Linked DNA regions of Lepisosteus oculatus. The protein of the gene in region 2 interacts with the protein of the main gene of each other region in a biochemical or structural test. Links are inferred from orthologs where the notes say so. Each region holds a gene or a part of one and is shown on either strand. Other genes may lie near its edges.

What was found.
Region 1: the proteins of map1lc3a (region 2) and phb2b form a complex in vitro, tested with the Homo sapiens proteins (2 studies listed by BioGRID). The link is inferred for Lepisosteus oculatus from reciprocal best matches to the Homo sapiens genes MAP1LC3A and PHB2.
Region 3: the proteins of map1lc3a (region 2) and atg7 form a complex in vitro, tested with the Homo sapiens proteins (2 studies listed by BioGRID, with this or other methods). The link is inferred for Lepisosteus oculatus from reciprocal best matches to the Homo sapiens genes MAP1LC3A and ATG7.

The regions. Positions count from the first base shown.
Region 1 is NC_090708.1:1,898,721-1,905,992, reverse strand, and holds the start of phb2b (prohibitin-2b), read right to left. Parts: upstream 3,032-7,272; 5' UTR 2,945-3,031; coding exon 2,924-2,944; intron 167-2,923; coding exon 37-166; intron 1-36. Other genes in the region: uncharacterized protein, read left to right, coding at 4,755-5,037, 5,181-5,344, 5,481-5,660, 5,817-6,089.
Region 2 is NC_090711.1:2,773,361-2,780,726, reverse strand, and holds the start of map1lc3a (microtubule-associated proteins 1A/1B light chain 3A), read right to left. Parts: upstream 3,043-7,366; 5' UTR 2,925-3,042; coding exon 2,885-2,924; intron 1,545-2,884; exon of another isoform or gene 1,439-1,544; coding exon of another isoform or gene 1,435-1,438; intron 1-1,434. Other genes in the region: dynlrb1 (dynein light chain roadblock-type 1), read right to left, coding at 4,796-4,839, 5,849-6,016, 6,844-6,919. UniProt on the Homo sapiens protein: Ubiquitin-like modifier involved in formation of autophagosomal vacuoles (autophagosomes). While LC3s are involved in elongation of the phagophore membrane, the GABARAP/GATE-16 subfamily is essential for a later stage in autophagosome maturation.
Region 3 is NC_090699.1:61,988,030-61,995,418, reverse strand, and holds the start of atg7 (ubiquitin-like modifier-activating enzyme ATG7), read right to left. Parts: upstream 3,014-7,389; 5' UTR 2,922-3,013; intron 1,300-2,921; exon of another isoform or gene 1,213-1,299; intron 722-1,212; exon of another isoform or gene 570-721; intron 1-569. Other genes in the region: hrh1 (histamine H1 receptor), read right to left, coding at 5,933-7,389. UniProt on the Homo sapiens protein: E1-like activating enzyme involved in the 2 ubiquitin-like systems required for cytoplasm to vacuole transport (Cvt) and autophagy.

The DNA.
Region 1 (7,272 bases), on a different chromosome or scaffold from region 2:
ACGCCTCTCTGCTCTCGCTGTCGCGCCCATACGCACCTGTGTATGTGGCCTCTTTGACCCCGTAGGCCAGAGCCCCGGCTCCCAGCAGCAGCTTGAGGCCCATGCCGGCTCCCCTGGAGCCCGAGGACATGCGGCTGGCCATGTCCCTGAGCTGCTGCACAAACCTCTGCGGGGCAAAGAGAGCACAGGCTTAGCCAGCACGCCTGTCTGGCGTCCTACTGCCCCCACAGGCAAGGGGGGGGAGTCAAGTCTGACACCGGGGGGGGTCAACTCCATCCCTGAGGATCTCTTGTCAGGACCGTGTGGGAAGACGGAGCCCTTTCGGCTTTTACACACCACGCCGCACCTTTCTGAAAACAGACCACCAGCCTTTGATTGGATTTAGTCCTGCGTTAAAAACTACCACCGCTAAGATGCTGCACTTCATTTCTAGAGACAAGGTACAGTCGTGGCCAAAAACATCGGCACCCTTGCACTTTTGGCAAATAACTCACAGTTTTCTCTAAAAATAAGTTGCAACTGACCAACTTATGTGGTCTCCACAGTTCTTTATTTCACTGTTACTATTACAGAACCGTTGTTTTTGATTCAGGACTTAATCTATCCTTTTAAATCAGAAAATAAAAAGAAACGGCATTGCATTGACAAAATTATTGACGGCCCAGACTCAATATTTGGTAGCACAGCCTTGTGTCACAATATCTGCAATCAAGCGCCTCCTATGGCCACCGATGAGCTTCCTGCACCTCTGTACTGGCAGTCTGGCCCACCCTTCTCGTGCCACCTGCTCCAGGCCTGCCAGGTGTGAAGGGTGCCCTCTCCCAGCTGCTGTTGTCAGATCTCTCCACAGGTTTCCAACGGGTTTAGATCTGGACTCATTGCTGGTCCCTCCAGAACAGTCCAGTGTTTTGTCCTGCCCCTTTCCCGAGTGCTTTTTGAAGTGTCCGGTGTCATCGTTGAGCTGGAAGACCTATGACCTTCGACGGAGACCCAGCTTTCTGACTCTGGGTATGACATTGAGCTCCGGAATGCCCCGGTGTTCTCCTGATCTCAAGACGCCTTGCACACGCTCAAGGCATCCAGCGCCAGTGGCAGCAAGGCGACCACACAACATCCCTGAACCTCCTCCATGTTTCACTGTAGGGAAGGTGTTCTTTTCCTTGAAGGCTTCATTTCGTTTTCTGTAAACATAGAGGCGGTGTGCTTTACCAAAAAGCTCTAGTTCGGTCTCATCTGTCCACAGGACATTCTCTCAGGAGGATTTTGGCAAATTGCAGTCAGGCTTCCTGATGTCTCTCTCTCAGCAGCGGGGTCCTCCTGGGTCACTGAGCTGGCGAGGGGGGGTGCGTGTTGAGACTGTCGCACCTCGGCTCTGAAGGTCAGCTTGAATCTGTGTGGCAGCTGATCGAGCTGCTTTCTCCACCATTCGAACAACCCTTCGCTACAATCTTCGATCAAGTTTTCTCTTAAACTTCTTGATAACATTACATACAGTGGAAACAGGAACATCAAGGTCTCTGGAGACGGACTTGTAGCCTTGAGATTGTCCACGCTACAAAAGAATGTCTTTCTTTTCTCCATGCTCATTGTGGTCCACACAGTGACACAAAACAGGAGAAAGAGTCCTTTTCTCTATTCTGACTGGCTGAACTAGTGATTTTTATATTGCAGGCACCTGCAAATCACCACAGCTGAGTTCAATTCCAAAGTAAAGGAGAATCACCGGCTTGAAATAGAATTATTTCTAAACGCTTGTAGAAGGTGCCAATAATACTGTCCGGGCCATTTTAGGATTTCTTGTGGAATAAGCTTAGTACTTAGTACATAATTCAGCTTTTTTTGTTTGTTTCACTGCAAACCAAAGCAATACAATGTATAAGAAATACATTTTTAATTTCAGCATTTGTCTGGAAGAAGTGTAGCATTATTTGAAAAAAATGTGCACGGGGTGCCCATATTTGCGGCCACGACAAATATTTATTGCAAGACGGTTCCTCCGGGTCTCGCCCGGGAGCAGCCAGCCTGGTGACACAGAGCCGTGCGCGTCTGTTCCGAACCGGCTCGTTCTGGGTTTGAAAATAAAACACAGGTGGGAAATCCGGTGCTTCCAGATACCGCGCAAGTTTCATCGCAAGAATAACATTCGCTCAGGTTATGAAACTCAGCGGCTGAGGTGCCGCTGTGGGCGAGCGCTCCCCCTAGTGGCGGCACCGGGCATCGCCGCGCTGACTTCTTCGGACAAGGCTGGACTCCATATTTACTACATCCAGAACATTCCTTGTCTTGGGGCCGCGGCGGTACGTTAATAACCAACACGTTTACACCAGGTTCCTTGAGGACACACGGATAAGTCAAAGGCAGAGGAAGTCTGAAGGGTCTAATTACAGACGGCGTGATGCAATGTCACCGACCCCCACAGACTCCAGCGAGACGCGCCGTATTGCACCGGTTGCTACAGCGCCGAGCTCTTCAGATCACATATCTGTTAATCAGAATGCTACACACTAGCTTTGAAAAATAAAACAATCCAGTCCCCTGCATATCGTACGCGGCCAAGATCCGCTGTCTCTTGTGACCAACAATATGAAGTCTAACACGGCCTCGTTAGTCCAGGCACAAAAAGCAATCCCTCTACAGCATTTACAGCAGTATTACTTTATTCTGCAATTCCACGCATAGACTTAAAGCTCGGGGAACACACGTCTTGAATTATTTGGTAGGTTTATTCTGGGAAAACAAAACCATATTCACGTTAATCAAAAAAAAAAAGATGAAGCCTCAGACAGAATGACATCAAACCGAGCTTGGCGCCACGGTCTTTACGAAAACAAGAATGTAACTATCTCACGGGAAAGCACTAACTCCACGGCAATGTGTTTTAATCGGCAATATTTCCAAATACGTGTGTAATTTCCATACTCACACTGGGCTCCTTATTCGCCATGCTGCCTGCTTCTGTGTTGCGCTCTGCCTCGCTGCAAGGTCAACTCACTGCACTTCCGGCTCCCTAAGAATGGCCCTCTGGGAAATGTAGTTCACCACAGAAGACACGTGATGACGTTATTTTTCTTCTATCGTACTCGCGAACGAAGTGATTTTCAGTAATCCGCACAAACCGAAACGTAATCCCATTCAGATGACCCGTGTTACTTCCATAGACTAGTTAACTGTAGCGAATATAAGCTTAACTATAATATATATAACTTTTCAAAAATTGTATGAATAATAATAATAATAATAATAATAATTGCTTACACTTTTATAGCGCTTTTCTGGACACTCCACTCAAAGCGCTTTACAGGTAACGGGGATCCCCTCCACCACCACCAATGTGCAGCCCCACCTGGATGGTGTTTGTCCACTGAAACCACCCCCCAAAAATAAGGAAAATAAGGCCTAATAGAGGTTTGAACACTTAAAACCAGACCAGATTAATTTGATAGTTTGTTGCTTATTGATCCAAAGATCGCAGCTTGTTCCACACTCCCACCACGCTTTGTGTAAAGAGCTGCCTCCCGCCCACGGCTTCTCCGTAGTTTCCCCTGGTTCGTGCGGACTCCTGAACCCACGGTAACGCTGGGACGACAGATGATGCTCCTGCAGTTTGAATTCGGACGGAACCGATTTTGTAGCCTTTTGCCCCGTTTTCAGGACAAGACCTGCTGCTGGGAGTCTGGCGGTGAGCGCGAAGGTGAAACACTGTGTTTCTCGCCGCAAACTCTCGACGATTTTGGAAGCTTCCAGCAAACGGCGGAACTGACTCTCCCACATTTTATTTTTACAAACGTCGGCATCTGTTACCTAGAAGACCCGGGGTCTCTGGGCTGTAAGCAATGTTAAAGATTGGTGCCGCTGGTCGTAGCTTCCCAAACGACCCTCCCAGTGTTTCTGGGGCGCCGTCCCCAGTTTATTTCTCACGTTTTCGGCTTTAAGAACTGAGACCTGCTGGAGCAAAACAAAGAGCTCTTCTTCCCCTCAGGTTTCACTGGACGTTAAATAATACAAGACGGGGTATTTCAGGGCATGCCTTTTCCAGTTCTCATATACTGTATATATTGAGCGAAACGAGAGACTTTTGTTTTTGGTTTAAGCGGCGAAAACACATCACTCTGGATGTCAGCCCATACAGTTGTGTTTACAGCGTCTTGAGAGAGACCCGCAGTGACCCGCACTGAGCCTCACTGGCCTCTCAGCCACAGCAGCGCTTCTCAGCGCCCCGGTGCTCTGAAAACGACCCCGATGTTACGCAGATCGGTAAACAGATGAGTTGACAAACGTAACGCTATATTCAACTAACTCTTAATGCCTAAGAGCTGCGCTGGAAAACCGGACGCAGTTCATTGATTTGCACATTAAATGCTTAAAAACGACTGCGCTTGGTGAATGGGACTTAATAAAGCTAAACAAATTTCATATTTTGATTGAATACACAGAGAATCAGGAACCACTTTTTTAATCAGTTGCGCGTTTTTTTGCCTTATAAAACGGCTAAGCTAATTAGTGTTCCCCTATCCCAGGATGCCTAGCGGCAGTGCGCGGAAGCCGCGATGACATCACAATCCCTTAGTGACGTGCTGGAGTGCATCCCTTTACCGCCTAGCAACGGGAGGACATCACAATTTTCTTATACAGGATGTCACATAGACCCCGCCACCTCGCCAGTCGCCGGGGTATAAAAGGGGCCTCCTGTAGAAACCGGTTGCAGTTGATCGCACTCTGATTCGTGAATACGATTTGTGTGTTGTCTTCTGCCTATGGGTCAACGACACAGTGACCCAGGCAAGCCACTGGCTGCCACCCCACCAGACCCCCCCCCCCCGAGTGAGCCCAGATTCGCCAGGGGGAGGAAGAGGAAATTCCTCAGGAGAAGAGCCAAGGAGAAGGAGGAGGGAGATTTCCCTATGTTCCTCCTGAACCTGATGACGGTGTTTGTCTGTTGCGGAGGTGTCTCTCCCGTAGAGAAGCCCAAATCCCGCACCCGCAAGGACGACACCTCGGCCACAGCGCCCCCCACGCCTGCCACCCCCACTTCGACCGGTAAGGAGGTTCTCCTATTAGCCTGAAGACTCTCAGCCCCCCTCCTGTGCTCCTCCAAGGCTCCTGGCTACAGTGTTTGTTTACCCAGGAGCCTCTCTCTGTCCTCCGTGTCAGTGACATTCTGCTCTCGTGCTGAATTCCAGACCCCGACGCAGAGGCACCCCCCAGCGCCCTCCCCGTCCCGGGGTCCCCCGAGGAAGATGGGGGTGACGGGGCCGAGGAAGAGGAAGTGATGGGGGTCCGGCCCGGCGAATACGGGGACCGGACCGAGGACGCCGGCCCAGAGCCCGTCGGGGGCCCGACAGTGGTGAGTCGGTCCTGCCGCCTCAGCCGAGTCCCCAGATCCCACTCCTGACTCCTGAAAATGGAGGGTTCGGGCCTGGATGCGATCCCTGTCCGACCCCACGCTCCTCAACTCCTCTGTCCTGTCTCTGAACTCACAGCCCCCCGAGTCTCCCCCGGAGTCTCCCCCAGAGTCTCCCCCGGAGCCGCTGCCTGCGGACGAGAGACCCCCGGGGGCCCCACGATCCGTGGGCACCCAGGCCAAGGGGAGACGGACCAGACCGGAGACGGCGCCGGCCCGTGTTGGTGACCCCGCCCCAGCGCCAGGACCCTCTGACAAAGTAAAGCCCCTTCGGAACCTCTCCTGGGTCTAACAGTGCATAACCTCCCAGCTCCTCCTGCGCACGGCCGAGCCGAGACACCCAGTCCAGAACAGTCGGTCGGTTCTGTATTCCCAATCCTGACCTGTCTCTCCTGGCCTTCCCCCTGTTTCCCAGGAATCCCAGCCGTTCCTGTGCCGCTCCAGCTCCAGCAGCCCGGTCACCATGTTTGGATCCTTCGCCTTCGACTGGCAGCCCCCCGGCGTCCCCTCGCTGCCGCTGGGCTGGGAGAAAGACGAGGAAAAGGAGCAGGGGGCGGCGGTCCGGACCGGCGAGCCGGAGCCGGACTCCGAGGACGCCAGCGTCTCCGAGGGGGCGGAATCTGCCCCCGCCGGAAGTGCCGGGCCCAGCTCCGAGGCCCCGAGCCTGGAAAGGGAGGGCAAGCTGTGAGCGCAGGGAGAGCGCCCCCCACAGGCTGCCACAGGAAGCACATGAAAATAAACATTTATTTCTGCACAAACTGAACGTGTAGTCCCTGTTTGGCTCTGGCTGCTGACACAGCTCTCTCACACCCGCAGGTTCTCTCACAAGGCCACAGTCTGCGCTCCAGACTCTTTATAAGTGGCCTCTCGCTCTCAGAGACCGGTCTGAAGGTGGGGTCCATTCAGCCCAGCTGCTCGGTCACCCCGCAGCTCCCAGATGGCAGCCCACTGCAGTCCAGCAGTGTGAGCCTGGCCACTACCTGGACGGGAGACCTCCTGGGAAAGCTCAACCTGGTGCTGGAAGAGGTGTTAGTGGGGCCAGCAGGGGGCGCTCACCCTGCAGTCTGTGTGGGTCCTAATGCCCCAGTACAGTGACAGAGGCACTAGAGTGTAAAAAGGCACTGTCCTTCAGACGATACATAAAACTGAGGTCCTGACTTTGTGGTCATTAAAAAATCCAGGGGTGTTTACTCGAAAAGAGTAGGGGTGTAACCCCGGTGTCCTGGCCAAATGTCCCCCAGGCCTTCACCAGTCATGGCCTCCTAATAATGCTGAAATGTTGATCATTGAAGCTTCCACAAGAGGGCACTCATCACTCAAACGTTTTTTCTTTCAATGGGATTAGAAATGTATACACGCCAAGTATTGCAGCAAAAAACACAAGACATCCGAATTGTGTAAAAATTCGAAAAACGAAGTTCTGTAAGAGCAGGACAGAAATTCTGTGGTAAAGGTACTCATTCTGTCTGGATACAGGAGCTGTGAGGATACAATTTTCTGAACCGTCTACATTTTGAAACCTCATTCATAAGCATTTCCATATCTACCTTGATCAAGTCTTAAAATAGTAGGAGACTTTAGGAAAATTGAATCTTTCTCTCCAACTGTCATCTCGGATTCTCAGCGTCTTGGACATGAACACATCCCTCCTTCATCAGACAGGAGAGATTTCGGGAGGCTGTGTCCAGCCCCAGCCGGCCCAGGAAGCACAAGACTCCACGCAGGACAGACCTGGAGACACTCCCCCTTCTGTTCATCTCTGCCAGCTCCCGAGTTCTGAGGAACAGTGTCGCCTCACTAATAAAGGGATGCCACACATTCCGAATTTAATTCTCACATCAGGATTTATTTGCATTTCTTCATTATTCCCA
Region 2 (7,366 bases):
CATTCCCTCAAAGCACATTTCCCACCTGGGACAATAAAGTCAAGTAACAGTCAGCTGACCTGTGTTAGCTACCGAAACGAGTTCAGCCAGGCAGTCTCTACATGCCCACAGATCCTCCTGATCAGAGTACACAGCTGTACACAGACGTGGCTGACCTTTGACCGCGAACACTAACACTGACAGCACAAAAATAAGCAGTGGGCAAATGAGAAAAATCAATTTTCTGCTACATAAACAGCACCAGGACTGGTCTAGGCCAGAGTTCCCACTCCGAGACAAAGGAACCTGCTATTGCAGCTGAGCTCTCTGTTTAATTAGTCCTTAACGAGGAACCAACAACTTGCTTGGTTAGAACCTTTGAAAGCTTTTCTTCTACTCAGTAGGTGGAGAACAAATGACTTAAGAAAAAGCTGAAAGACAACCTCTAACTAAATATAATTAAAGAGCTCCAACGAAACCTATTAGGTTAGAACAGGCAGTCATCCTTAAAGATCAGCAAGGGGTCGGAGCGGAGAGTCCAGTCACACTGACTGAACTGCAGTTTTCCACCAGGAACAGGATAACCGGCAAAACTCCCCATTCTTTATTACAACACTCCCAAGCAGTGACCTCCCCTTCATCTGTGGATCACATTATAGTACAGTCTGACCACGGGACTTCACTGTGCATAATGACAGCGAAGAGGAGCTACAAGCACAAAGCCCCCCGAGAGGGCAAACAGGGGTAACTAGGGGTCGACCCCCGAAATCCCAATTTCCAAGTTGGGATGTCTGCTAGGGTCACGCCCACCAGGGGCGCAAATTACATCCTGGTCCTGGAGTTCTGTTCCAGTCGAGCCCATGGTCCCAGAACTGAGCCCTTCACCGATGGTATCAACACGGTTCACTTGAACCTCTGGATTGTTCTTCGGCTCTTAAACACCATGCTGGAGGGTGCTTTCTGCCCACTGCATTTCATGAGTGGAATAAGACACCACCCTTCCGAGTGGAGAAGAAATACCACGCATTCCAGCCGGGAAAGGTGTTGCTTCAACCAAGAACAGCTGGGCTAAAGAGCAGCAGGTGTCGTCTTCGCGTGCCAGGATCGGCAAGCCCTTCATTGTTCACACCCACCTGAGGCGGAGCCTGTACGAGTCTATTTAAAGTAAGGAGGGAGGGGCTTTTCTCTCCTTTACCAATTAGTTCCGTGTTGCTCCGATACCGGCTGTCAGCTACAAGTCCCTAATCGACAGGACGCCTTAAGGTAGAGGATGGTTTCCCCCCACAGCTTCTAAATGAAAACCTGTAAATTTAACCGAAGTTGTGTGCTAAATGAAATAGAATGCTTAATTATCCCTCAGCACTGTTGGATTATACCGTCATAAGAAAAAAAAATATTGACCCGTTTTTCTATTTGGAGGATTTCCTAAGCCTATTGCTCTTATTTTGCCCTTACCCATACTGCAATTTTTTCTGTCAAGCCCTGCATCCTCTTCATATGCACGGGTTCTTTGCAAGACATCCGTAATGAGGATCACCCTTTAACATTCTTGACCTGGGGTCAGCTGGCATTCGGAATCCAGCACGCACCGTCCCAAAGATGTTTACTGTAGTAAAAGTCCAAGCTTCGCGGAGGTGAGGGGGTGTGGTCCTGCCTGAAGACGGAGCCCGCCCGCCCCGGAGCTCCGCCCCCATCGCGCCGGAAACACGCGGGGCCGTCGGGTCGCCTTGAGACCTTCCTGTTGGGAGATTTCTGCAGACGAGCAGCTTTTCGTCTGGAAGCACATTGACGATCTCTCCGAGACGGGTAACATCCCGCGTTAACCTGCGTGGCTGCGCGGTACGGCGCTGTTTTTGGAGGTGCGCATTCTCACACAAGCCTGCCTTGATTCATTTTGAAGTGAAAAGGCGGGGGGATACTCGCGGTAAGGCGTGCACGCTGAAGGCGGCACAGGTTGTCGAACTGTTAAAGACACCTGTTGAATACTCTTAAGATGCGACATAGCCGGGATTGCAGGTCAATATCCGCTTATTAGAAAATCCTGATTTATGAAATCAAGTCCGTAAAACTGAATCGCTTTTAACGTCCTAACAAGAATGATGAAAACGTTCTTTGGGTTAATCTGATGTATGGTATGTCATATACGTAATACATTCCGATATAGAGAATGATTCCATTTTATGCAATTTGCTGTTCTTTTGCCACCATGTATCCGATCTGTATCTCATACGCGGACCCATATTAAACAGTGTATTATATGTAACTTCACTGTACCTCCCCATCTTCCCCACCGTGGGGTGCCGACCCCACTCCCGAAACCGGGTGCCCGTGACGCCAAGCACACTGTGACCTCGGACCACCCTGTGGCAGCGATACTACATCATCCAATTCTTTCGTGAAGAACCTGACATCAAAACCTGGTGCTGTTGGCCGCGTTATCCGAAGTGGTCTCGCACAGAGCGAGGTCCTGCAGTGCACCCAGCAAGCTGGTGTAATAATGGGACTTTAAAATCCTCCGTCCCTGAACACCAGAGCCCATAACTGAGGTTTGGTACGGATGCCAACTTGTTCGGTCCTGCCGGTATTCAACTAACGGATTCAAGAGCGGCGATGTGAACGCACGGCCTTCCGGATCGCTCCGCGTTTTTAATAAACTACACGGACGCGAGAAAAAAAACACCTTTCAACACGCTCACGCCCGCTTCACGTACACGGCAGAAAAACAACCCACCCAGGTCGGGCACAACAGAAGTGCCCGACAGGCCGTCTTTATGACGAGGTTTCTAGATTGTTGTTTTTTTTGTTTGGTAAACAAAAGACTGAGCGACACGACATCTGGTAATCAATGATAGTGGTGGTGGGGAATACATTGTCCTAATTTGCAAATAAACTGTTTATGACTTACCAAACGTCCTCCTTTGTTTGAAAGGTCTGTCGGAAGGCATTATTGTGAGGGATCAGTCCGGTTTAACGCCCGTCTCAAGCACAGATGACTGGACAACCTGGGGCTCGGATCTCTGTCTGCCCAGCTCGCTTTTGTGACAGTGTAGCGAGCCGAGCAGTATGACGTCAGCCGGAGACTCTTAAAGGGGAAGGAGCCGTGTTGTGGAGAGGGTGGAGGAGTGTTTAGCCGACAGAATCGGCTCGACGTGTTTCATGAATCCCTTTCATCCATTTTAGGTGCTCTCGTAGTACTTAATCATTTAATGGGGTTGGAGACAGAAATTTAAAAGGCAACAATAAGACCCGCAATGATGCCCCTTACTGATAACACTGCCCATGTTTGGTTTTTACACCCAGTTTATTGAAGTGTGACACGTTTAAACTTGACCTTTAGAGACGGGGTAGGTGGGAGTGTTGGACTAACTGATTGATTCATCCAGGGTATAGGCCTTGACCACGTGACCTCTTTCAATAAACACCTCGATAAAATCCCAGGATCCATTAACTACTAACTAGCAAAGAAGCTGTATGAGCTGAATGGCCTCCTGGTAAATTACCTTTTAGATATTCAAAACAAAAAACTGAGGTCGTTACTTTTATGCATTAAGGAGGCTTTTATTTGTTTTTAGTAGTTTTGTGTTGCAATTAAAATGTACACTTCTACTGGACATGTAGGCAAAGGAAAGCTGGTGGGGGGGGGGTACTGTAGGATCCCTCACTGGGTGTTCCTGATACAATCCTGGCTGTGAAAACTGAATCATTATTTCTGCTTGACATGCATTAAGTGTTGTGTAATCCAGAGGGCTGTGCTGATCAGTCTAATTCAGTGCAGAGAGTGCATGTACATACCAGGCCATTACAGGGCACGCAGAAAAACACTCACACTAGCAGCAGGTTTCTGGGCTGTGGGAGGAAACCCAAGCAAACATACAGACTCTTTGCACATATTGCCACCATGAGAAGTTTATTAGATGCTTTTAAATTGACACATGACTTTCTTAAATATATAGTATGGAACAAGTTCTGTAAAGGAAAAGGGTGCTTCATGGTCCAAAACACAGTAGGGGCAAGAGCCAAGATGAGTCTTTTCTGCACTCATCCAGTGGGTGGCTGTCTTTAGTCAGCTGAAGAAATCAAGAGATTTTAAACGGCCTTACATCGGAGGAAAAGCACTGTACACGTAGTGGAATCTACTCTTCCCAAAAGCCACAGTAAAAACCGTGTTGAGCTGCAGATGCCTTTTAAGCTCACAGGTGCAGGAAATGAATGGAAACAAATACAAATCAAATTCAAACACCCTCTGCAAGCCAGCTCCCTTTGGGGAAAACCACAGCTTTCCAACCCCTCAAGTTTTATTAAACTAAAAGATTGTTTAAATGTAAATAAGAACAAGTTCTACATTGATAACGTCTTTGAAAATATAGTGACCAGTTTTTGAGCAGGACAGTGCAGGATGCTTAATCATTAATGCTGCAGGCCTTCATGGAAGCAGTCCGGAATTAAACACAGGATCACACTGGACCTGGTCAGTCTTCACCCCTGCACTTCAGTGATTTTGTTTCCAACTCTTTAAACCAGCAGCAGTTCCTAGCCTGTGCTTTCTGCTGCATGTGCATGGAGAATACATTCTCTTTCATTGTATAGTTATGATGTATAGCTTGGGAACCAGAGGAATGGAGCTGCAGTAAAGGTTTACTTCTTATTGCACTGAATTACACTCTTTGCACAAAATGAATACTTGTGATGAAACTAATTTATGCTTTTTTCTCCAAGATAAACCTAGAACAATTTATCCGACACTGGCACAGTTTTCGACATACACCATTTGGCCTTGTAAATAAAAAAAATAACTTAATAAAAGGAATAGGTCTTCTTATTCTGTAGGATTCTGGACGACAATGAGGAAGTATTCTTTATCTGTCAAAAGGAAAAAACAAAGATTATCATTTTACTGAACATTGCAAAACAAGCTTAAAATATTATTGCCTTAAAGCACTCCCAATGACCCCCTGCATGACATAAGGGCGGAGTGGTGGCTCTGTGGCTAAGGATCTGCGCCTGTGACTGGAAGGTTGCCGGTTCAAATCCCGCGGCCGGCAGAGGAATCCTACTCCGTTGGGCCCCTGAGCAAGGCCCTTAACCCTAACTGCTCCAGGGGCGCCGTACAATGGCAGACCCTGCGCTCTGACCCCAAGCTTCTCTCCCTGTCTGTGTTTCCATGGAGAAAAAGCTGGGGTATGTGAAAAGACACATTCCAAATGCAAGAAATTGTAAACATTAAACATGAAACGTTAAAAAAAACATTTAAAAAAAAGTTGGGTTTCGTTTTAACTATTTCTAATGTCCAGTCTGTTTCTGCTCATTTTGCTGCTTTTCTGTTTGCACAGAGAGTGAGGACCTGCCTACCTGCCAGAGCTGAAACCTCTGTGAGAATCACCTTGGAGGTCACAGGGCTCTCCTGCCTGAATAACGCCCTCTCTATCCGGCTCGGACAAGGGGCTCGATCTGCACTCTGGGTGAGAGAGCCCTCAGGCTGAGCTACGCTAATACCTGTCTGCTGCTCCTGCTCGCACCCCCACAGTGGTCAGTGAGCAGGACGCTGGGCGAGGAATTTTACACATCAGCGTGCGTGGAGCATAGAAACACAAAAAACAGCTACTAACATAATGCAGTGAAGATTTATTTTTTCTGTTATTCCCTTCCTGTATCGTGATCCAACTGGCCACTAAACCCCACACAATTACAGGGTGCTTGTAGGGGGGGCCGATGAGCCCAGTTTTATAAATCTCAGCGAAGGCATACACTGTATATAACTCCACATACTGCTGCACACGTCACCCAGCTCTTAAAATCAATCTAGCAAAACAGATGCAAACAGCGATTGGACTAATAAATGTTTGTTTTTAAATGCTTTTGATCTGGTTACCTGGGGCGACCATGATTTCGTTTTTCTTGGAGCGGAGCCGGAGGAAGGTGAGGTCATTCTGGGGGTCGATGTCCCGCACGGTGCTCCGCGCTTTCATCACCAGCTGGTGGATGAGCCCCGAGTACTGCACGGTGGTGGAGTTGTCCAGCGTGGACTTGATGGGGATCCCTACCAGCAGGGGCAAGAGGGAGTGAGGTGGGGGATGCATGGCGCACGCCTTTCAAGTCCACCCATCTTCTAAGCTCTTTGTCCAGTTCAGGGCTGCAGGGGAGCTGGAGCCTATCGCAGCAAGCAAGGGGTGCAAGGCAGGGTACACCCTGGGTGGGACGTCAGTCCATCACAGGGTGCCCACACTCGCACCAGGGCCAGTTTTTCCAGAAGCCAATTAACCTGCCAGGATGTTTTTGGACTGTGGGAGTATACTGGGGGAAAAACCCCTGTGAACACGTAGGATATCAAACTTGGTCAGAAACCCACTGGGCACGTTTTGTGGCCCGCGTTTAAGAATAGTAAAAGCCTCCCCTGAAGCCCTAGCGTTCTCGGGCTCTGCCTCAGCCTGCAGGGACACGGGTGCGAGAGATGTGATGCTGAACGGCTCTCCAGGGGGGCCTGTCTGCCAGCCTCCACCCTCTCCAGGGCTCACGGCCCTAAAAACAACTGGCGATTCCCACTTGAGCAAGTCAAGAAAACAGACCCTTTTCTAAGTGCTTTCCGAAGTGTGGGGAGCTGAAGCCTATCCCAGCAGTGGCCACGAGGCAGGGTACACCCTGGACAGGACTCCAGTCCATCGTAGGGCAGACACACTCAAGCCAGGGCCAGTTTTCCCAGAAGCTAGTGAACATACGAGCATGTGGACTCGCCCAGAGGAAACCCACGCAAACCTGGGGAGAACATACAAACTCCACACAGACAGCACCCCAGGTCTGGAACCAAGCCCAGGACTCCGCCACAGCAATGCTGACCACTATGATACCTGTGCAGGTGGGCGCACGTACCTTCTGCATTAACGATGATGATCCCCTGGACACCCTTCTGACTTTGAATCCTCTTCAAGGTTTCCTCCACTTCAGCCTGCAAGACACGCCCGTGATCAGTAACGACCGTCACATCAAACACCGTGAGCAGCAGCTTATCTAGTCTGAGGCAGGGTTGCCAACGCAGGAGAAACAGACGCTGTAAGCTTGCAGTGCATCTTCAAAGCAGGCCAGGGGTCTTACACTGACCTGCCCACCTACTGAAACACAGGAATAGTTTTACACGGTCACAGAAGCTCCCGAGAAGAAAAGGGTCCAGATCGGCCAAGCTTCAGCCTAACCGTACAGTTCAACAAAGGCAACTGATTTGAACGAGCTACACTGTTCGAGGTAGTGCTGTCACACCTCACACCACGGCACCGCTACGCTGTCCAAGCAAACGTACAGTACTCCTACTCCTACTCATTTAAGCGGAATTTCTATAATTTGACATTCATATAATCAGTTCAGTGAACTGAAACAGTTAAATGCAGCTTATCCGTGC
Region 3 (7,389 bases), on a different chromosome or scaffold from region 2:
GTAACATATTGTTGCTCTATAACACAATGAAGAGTTTGGATTTCCACGTTACCTTGCCTGTTTTACTTTCTGATAAAGACGCATGCTGGCATTGTTTTCTTGGTAATTATTTTTCATCAGAATCCATCCTTAACATACTCCACACTTACCAAATGAGGCGGGGAAGAATAAGGTTAAATCAGGTAATGACCTAGGCTTTAATGAAAAATGAATATCCAACAGCTTTGAGCTACGTAGCTGTAACGTGACACATATATAGCTCACCTTATCATTTAAATTCATATCATAAACATAAGATTTAACCTAAAAAAAACGTAGAATATTTAGCAGAATTTACAGAAAGCAGTCCAACACTATGTGCTTTTCATTATGAAAAGGAGTAACTTCAACTTGGACTCGAAAAGAAATCATCACATATATTTTATTAATCATGTTTATTAGATAGCCAAGTGTTCTGAAGAGAAGGCATATCATTCCGACTACAGGGAAGCTGGATGAAAAAACTTTACTAAGTATAATTTTGTTATGTACCCAGACCAAAAAACAAATGCTCCAACCTGCATACTTACCAAAGCTACTTCCGCCTTCGACACTTGTGACCGGACGCTCTTAGAGTGACGTCAGACGTACGCAAAGAATGCACGTAATGTATTAGTTACGCCAGTGTTGTGGGAGTGATACGAATTTCCAACAAATTACAGCGTCCAAATGTATAATCCTTTCTGATTTATTATAGTACAGGCGTCTGCAGAACTAGGAATGTGAAATTATTAACAAACTTCACATATTTACTACAAAAAGCTTTTCCAACACCTAAATAATAACAATCCAGTAGATATCGTCTACATTTAATTGCATTACAAAATGAAAGCCAAAATGTTAGCAATAACTTACGTAAATCTTTAAATCCAAAAAAATCAAGAAACTAAACTGAATCTAGCTAACAAGGTAGACAGGGTAAATACACGAAGCCTGGCCATTATAGCTATCTGTTTGTTTCACCACTTACATAGATTAGTGTTGCATGCAAAATAATCAATATTTTCATCCACAGAAGTCGACCGTGGAAACCACTTACTGCACTAAGGCATTGCATTTAAATACAGTTTACGGTGCGTTAACTATTGTATAAAAAACAAAGAACCAAAACAGAAACAAAAAAGCGCAGACAGCCAAGCACGAAAAAACAGAGAAAAACTGGTATGCACCATTCCTTTTCATTCTGATAAGAAGGAACTCTCCCTGTTGTAGCTAAAATAGTAATGTTACCTCCCACGAAGCAACGCAGCGAACTATAAGGTGAGTTGCCTCACATGGAACTAGAATCGTTTTTCTTGGTTTAATACAAAATGGATCCCAACATGATATCGATAAATAAAGCGTGGTGCCGCATGAAAGATTTAAACCTGTTTCATACTGCAGCAATCGACGAGCAAACGATATTTTGTGATTGGTTTTCCCGCAAAAAATATCCTAAACAGATTTCAAAATTCCCATGACCAGTGCATGGAGTGATGTGGTTTTTCTAGTCTGGCTATACTGAGAACGAGTTGAACTGGAGACTCAAACTGCATTTTTGGTGCCTGTTCATCAGACGCACCAGTCCTGAGCGTCCATGCTAGGAACTACAGTAATTGCTCAGCAGCGCCATTGAAAACGAATCGGCCTTGATCTGTTCTTTTCTCTGTGACAAGTCTAAGCCTGTTAAAAAACAATTTATTGGTATTACGTTAATCAATTTAACATATGCCCTAGTGGAAATTGTAGTAGAAAAGGTTCATCTGGTATCTACCAGTGACCAAGATCTTCTAGTTCAGAAAACGTTCAAAAGCCCATTGAGATCTGTTTATTACTGCATAAATCTTAAACAGTTTATACTGTATTCTACTGGCAATAATTGAATAATAATTAGTGGGTACAGTGTTGTTGTTGTACTATGGATATGAGAGTTACCTATTGTTAAGCAACATGTCTAATATCTTTCAAATATTCATGAAACCATGTTAGGCAATTTGTCAGTTACCTGAGTAATTTCTCAGATTTAGTCATTAAACATATTACATTTAATTATTTATTTACAAGCAGTTCAAATATAAGCTGGCTGTGATGGGCACCACAACGAAACTTTGAGAACGAAAATATTATCTCCTGATGGAATCCCCCCCTCACATCTGCCACCACTGAATACAGTAGTTTAGTTGTGACATTGTCTTGTTTTTTGCTTGTTGTAAAAAGAAATATATATAGCATTTTAAGTTAAATCTACAGAATCACACAAAACCACACAATTTGTCTTTTTAAATACATGCAGAACAAACATATTTTAGTATACTGCATGATCACATTTATCATAGATTTAATAACTTACTGTACAATGTATTTAAACATGACTATTCCCATATGAATAGAGTTAACTAACCTGTTGATAGAGTTAATGTTGGGCACAAAAAAAAACGTCTGAAGAAAGGAACTGTCCATCTCCTCATTATCCTGGATTAGAATAATGGCATGATCTTGAGTATTAAAAGCTGCTAAAACTTAGAAACTCTGTACATAAAGTACTGTGTTGTAAGTCCATAAGCATTTCAATACATCTGTTTGCATACTGCTTTTCACTGTGGACCATGAGCTCGGTTAAGTGCAGTAGGGCCACAGGACTGATTCACAAGGTGATACCTTGTTAGCAAACTGAATTCACACATTTTTTTTTGTTTAAAAATAATCAGTATTTAATTAAATTAAAAATAATTTATGGTTTTCATGCACCATGTCTGAAAATAAATGTTTAATTAGGAACAGATGAGAAATAGCTTTGAAGCCTCTGAAACAAGCCTGCATTTTTGCTTTAGAAAGCATGTTTACAATTGTTACAAAATATACATTTGTTATAACTAGAATTTAAAGAAGACAATTGTACCTACCATATACTGTACCATAGTTCTTCATATTGTACCTTGTCAAATCTTGTACACCGTGGTATCACCAATTGTATTCATGATATACCATACTACTAATACATCTTACTGGTACTACATGGTATTGATATAAGTGCCACTGTACATTCCACAGCCATGCTTGAAAACATACTTTTATGAGACCACAAAATATTTCCCCCTCTGAATGTATAACCTCTGGACTCTTGAGAAACCCAGCTCTTAAGAGATACAAGATGTGTAGTGGATGATGACAACAAAAAAAGAAAGCTATAAGAGTCTGCTACTTATTTTGTCCGTTTTCATTTTTTGTCAATGTTTAATTTAAGCTTTTGCTTATCCAAGGTGTTTGGAATGTTATTTAGCTGTGACTTGGTGCTCAATATTGTGTCGTGTCCTTAAGTTTTTCTCTGAATTGCACACTTTCATATTGCAGTCAGTCTTCAGGAGCAATGGTCAGTGGACCCAAATGTTTGTAGAATAAGCTACAAATTCTAAAAAAACACAAACATCTTCCATTGAGAAAGGAGCATTTGGTACTGAGTCAATTTGGTACTGGTTCCAAAGGCGTTCTTGAACTGAATGAGCCTATTGTCTCTACAAAGAGAGATTAAGACTTTGCTCTTTTACTGTATGTCCAGACAGAAGTTCTTAAGTTTTACGTAGTTCAGTGAGTTTTGTTGATTTGACTCTATTGGGCATTACAAATGACTGCTGAATCATCTTAAACATGGGTAGTGTGACTGAAGGTTACATAATTGTTTACTGTTTTTATGTCTTTGAACTTTGGAGGTTTTGATGTATTTGGACATTACAAACACTTGAAACTGATTTGCTTGGTAGTTAGTCCTGTTGAGAAAAAAACACTAATCTTGATACTATATCTAAATATGTTATTAAAACAATCTTGCAGATCCCAAATACTGTAAGTTGCAGGGAAATATAAGCCCTTTCTTTATCAATATTTCGGTTACATCTCTGTATAATGTGTTTTGCCATTTCCTTTTCACTGTAACAGTAAAGCCAAAATCATATATTTTCTTGTAATAGTGCCCTACATTCCTTGATAGAAATATAGTATTTCTCTAAGATAACCTTTCATATGCGTTGAAAAACAAATACAGAATTGATGTTGTAATAGTTTATTACAGTACTAGTAACCATTACTGATATTGTTACATGATATATGACTGTGGTATCCATCATTTTCTTATTACTTCATCCAATTTAGGTTTGCAATGGAGTTGGTACCTGCAAATAATGGATTCAAGGTGGGGTATACCTCAGATCGGTCGCTAGTCCATTGTAGTAAATGTGCAGTATTTACAAATTTGTTTGACTTTTCCTGCTTTTGGCCTGCAAATTATAAAGTTCTGTTCTGAAGGATTATTTTTGTCAATTATTTAAAACAAATTTAAATCTGTCACTTCTTTAACAAAACAGGCATGAATTAAAATAACATGTTACTGAAACATTTTACATTTCTGAATAAAGTGCGCCGTCAATGGATGTGGAAAATGTATCAAAATACTACGACAAAGAAAAACAATGTTGTTTAGTTAAATAATAGATTACTTTGTAAATACAGCCAGCACAGTGTAATACACAATTTACTCGACACATAAATAAAGGCATTAATTTGATCCAGCAAACTTTAACAAATATTTTTATAAAATGAACAATAAATAGCATGAGTCATAAATTTAAGACGTTGTTTTTAGATACAAACACTAGTAGATTCTACATTAGATCTTTGAATAAAACACAAAGGTTGCATGTTGTTTCAAATTCACAGTTCCATTTTCAACCAAACATGAAGTTAATATGAAACACGTAAACCACTTTTTAAAACATTTGTCTGTTCTGTAATGAATATAAGATAGTTATTGGAAAATACAAAAGATTTGCTTCATATACAGTATATCCAATGTCCAGTGTTGCCTACAAGGAGAAGGAAAAAAAAATATTTACATACTGAGAATACTGAAACAAACAAATGAATCACTAGTCCTTCTTTATATAGTTCTTTGGTTTGAGAGAAATTAGGATTCCAGTAAATTTCCAATCAAATAGCCTTTAATTGGTACAGTATGTTTTAATTTTTAAATGGCAGGGCAGCTTGTTCATTCATAAATCTAAAAATAAAATATTTCTTTAAGATAATGAATACAAGGATTTATTGATTAGTGATTAAATGACTATCACCTTTAACATCGAATTACAAAATAAATTATTTCAAAATGACGCACATAACACTAGGAGCAATACTATACAATTCTTTCTGTGTGGAAATGTAAAAGGCCACTATGTTTCATGCTGTCAACATCAATAGCAGAAACTGTGGTACCTGTTTTCGACATAAAAGGTCTGTGATCTAAGATTTGCTTTCAAAACATGGATGAATACTTTTCACATAAACACTAACTTGAATAGCAAGAAGGCCTCTTTCAGACTGGAATAGAAGCTCATTGAAATGCTAATAAGTAAAAATGTTTTCCAGAGGTTATTTTAGGGTGATGACTAAGTTGATAGTACTAATCTAAGGCAATGAAAGTCTTTATGCTCTTTTAATCTTTTGTGAACACATGGGGAAGATGTCATTGTACTGCACAACAAGAACAAGACCCACCACCGTAGGTCTCACACACATTGTTGAAGGAACTTTCTTTTGGAGAAAGACTTTAATTAGCATGATTATTTTTACACAGAAACATCTGAATTGCGTAAAATAGGTTCCTCATTTCAGAATAGTAAAATTGAAAAAAATATGTATTGCTATTAGTCCTGAAATAGTTTCCTTTTACATTCAGAATGCTGAAACAGTCCTGATTCCTTTGTCATTTAAGATGTTTTGGAAATGATCTGAGAATTACAGAGGGTAATTTCAAGAGAAATTGAAAGGACTTGTAGGGAGGTTTGGGTTGATTTGATATGAACTATCGTAATATCAAACATGATAATGCACATCCAGTGGTACGTGGAAAAAATCCTTTAAACTATTAGGAATTAATATGGAGTATATTTTTAAAGATTTTTTTGAAATTTTCATTGCAGAGGGGATAAATGAAAGGATTTAATGTGGAGTTGATATATCCTAGCCAGATGGTGAACATATGCAGATCATGATGAACACACGTTTTACAAAAGGCCATTACCATAAATGTTACAAAGTAAGGGATCCAACACACCATAAAACCTGCGATGATAAAGCCCAACTGTTTTGCAGCTTTTCGTTCCTTACTGATGCGAAGGCTCTGAACATACTGTTTGGACTGGGAGCAGAACTTTTGCCAAGACTGCTTCAGGTTATTCACGCTGGCAGTATCTACCTTGGGGCTACTGCTGTGAGACCACGATGGAGGCTCAGGATGTGAGAACTCATCTTTACACAGGACTGTGGCAAACCTCTGAACATCAGAAATGTCTGTTATCTCGCAGACGCCAGCGACAGAGTTGGGCACAATTAAATTACAGTCACTGACTGACACAAACATTGCATTGACATCTTCATTCTCTGATTGCAGAATGCCCAGAGGCAAGCAGGCCACCTTCAAAGGTGTCTCAGGACCCATGGCCAGATGCTGTTCGTTTGTGTCCCCCTGTGTACCAAGAGAAGCAAGCGGGTGCTTTTCTTTATCTGTCAGGAACATGTCTTCTTGCAGCTGCTTTTGATGTTTGGGGATAGTGAATAAAGCAGCCTGGTAGCAGCAGTTAGTTGTGTTTTTCTCAACCCAGGTCTCTATACCCTCATTTATGTCTTTTGGGTAGTATTGCTGTCCGAGGCTGTACTGATCAATCAAACCCTCAAAGTGGGAAGATTCCTGAGGAGCACTCTCTTCCTGTCTGACTACATCAGTCTTACGCCTCTTCCCAGATATTTTACAATTGTTAGCGAAACAATTCCTGTTGTAAGAAGAGGGCTTCGACTCCTTGATGATCTCCCTTTGCCGATAATGCTTTCTCACTGCCATATATATCTGTGCGTAAAACCACAGCATCAGCACGGAGGGAACGTAGAAGTTCAAAACTGCAGTAAGGACTTTAAACCAGGTAACAAATCGAAAATCCGTGTCGCATTTGTTTTCCGTTTCGGGCTGTGGATCGACGTCCGAAAAGGTCCGCCATCCCAATATGGGTATGACCCATGTCATTGACAAAAGCCAGGCCCCTGATATCATAACACTGGCCCTGGCCCGGGTCCGATATTTGAGATATCTAAGTGGCTGCCTCACAGAGCGATACCGATCCACACACAAAATAAAGAGGCTGAAGATGGAAGCTGTACTGGCTACATAATCCATGACTAACCAAAACTGGCAAACCATGTTGCCTAGTCTCCACTCTTTCTCCAGCAAATACACAATGCTGAGGGGCATCACAGTAGCACCCACAATAAGATCTGCTACAGACAAGCTAACAATATAGAGGTTCCCAACTGTGTGCAGCGTTCTCTCCT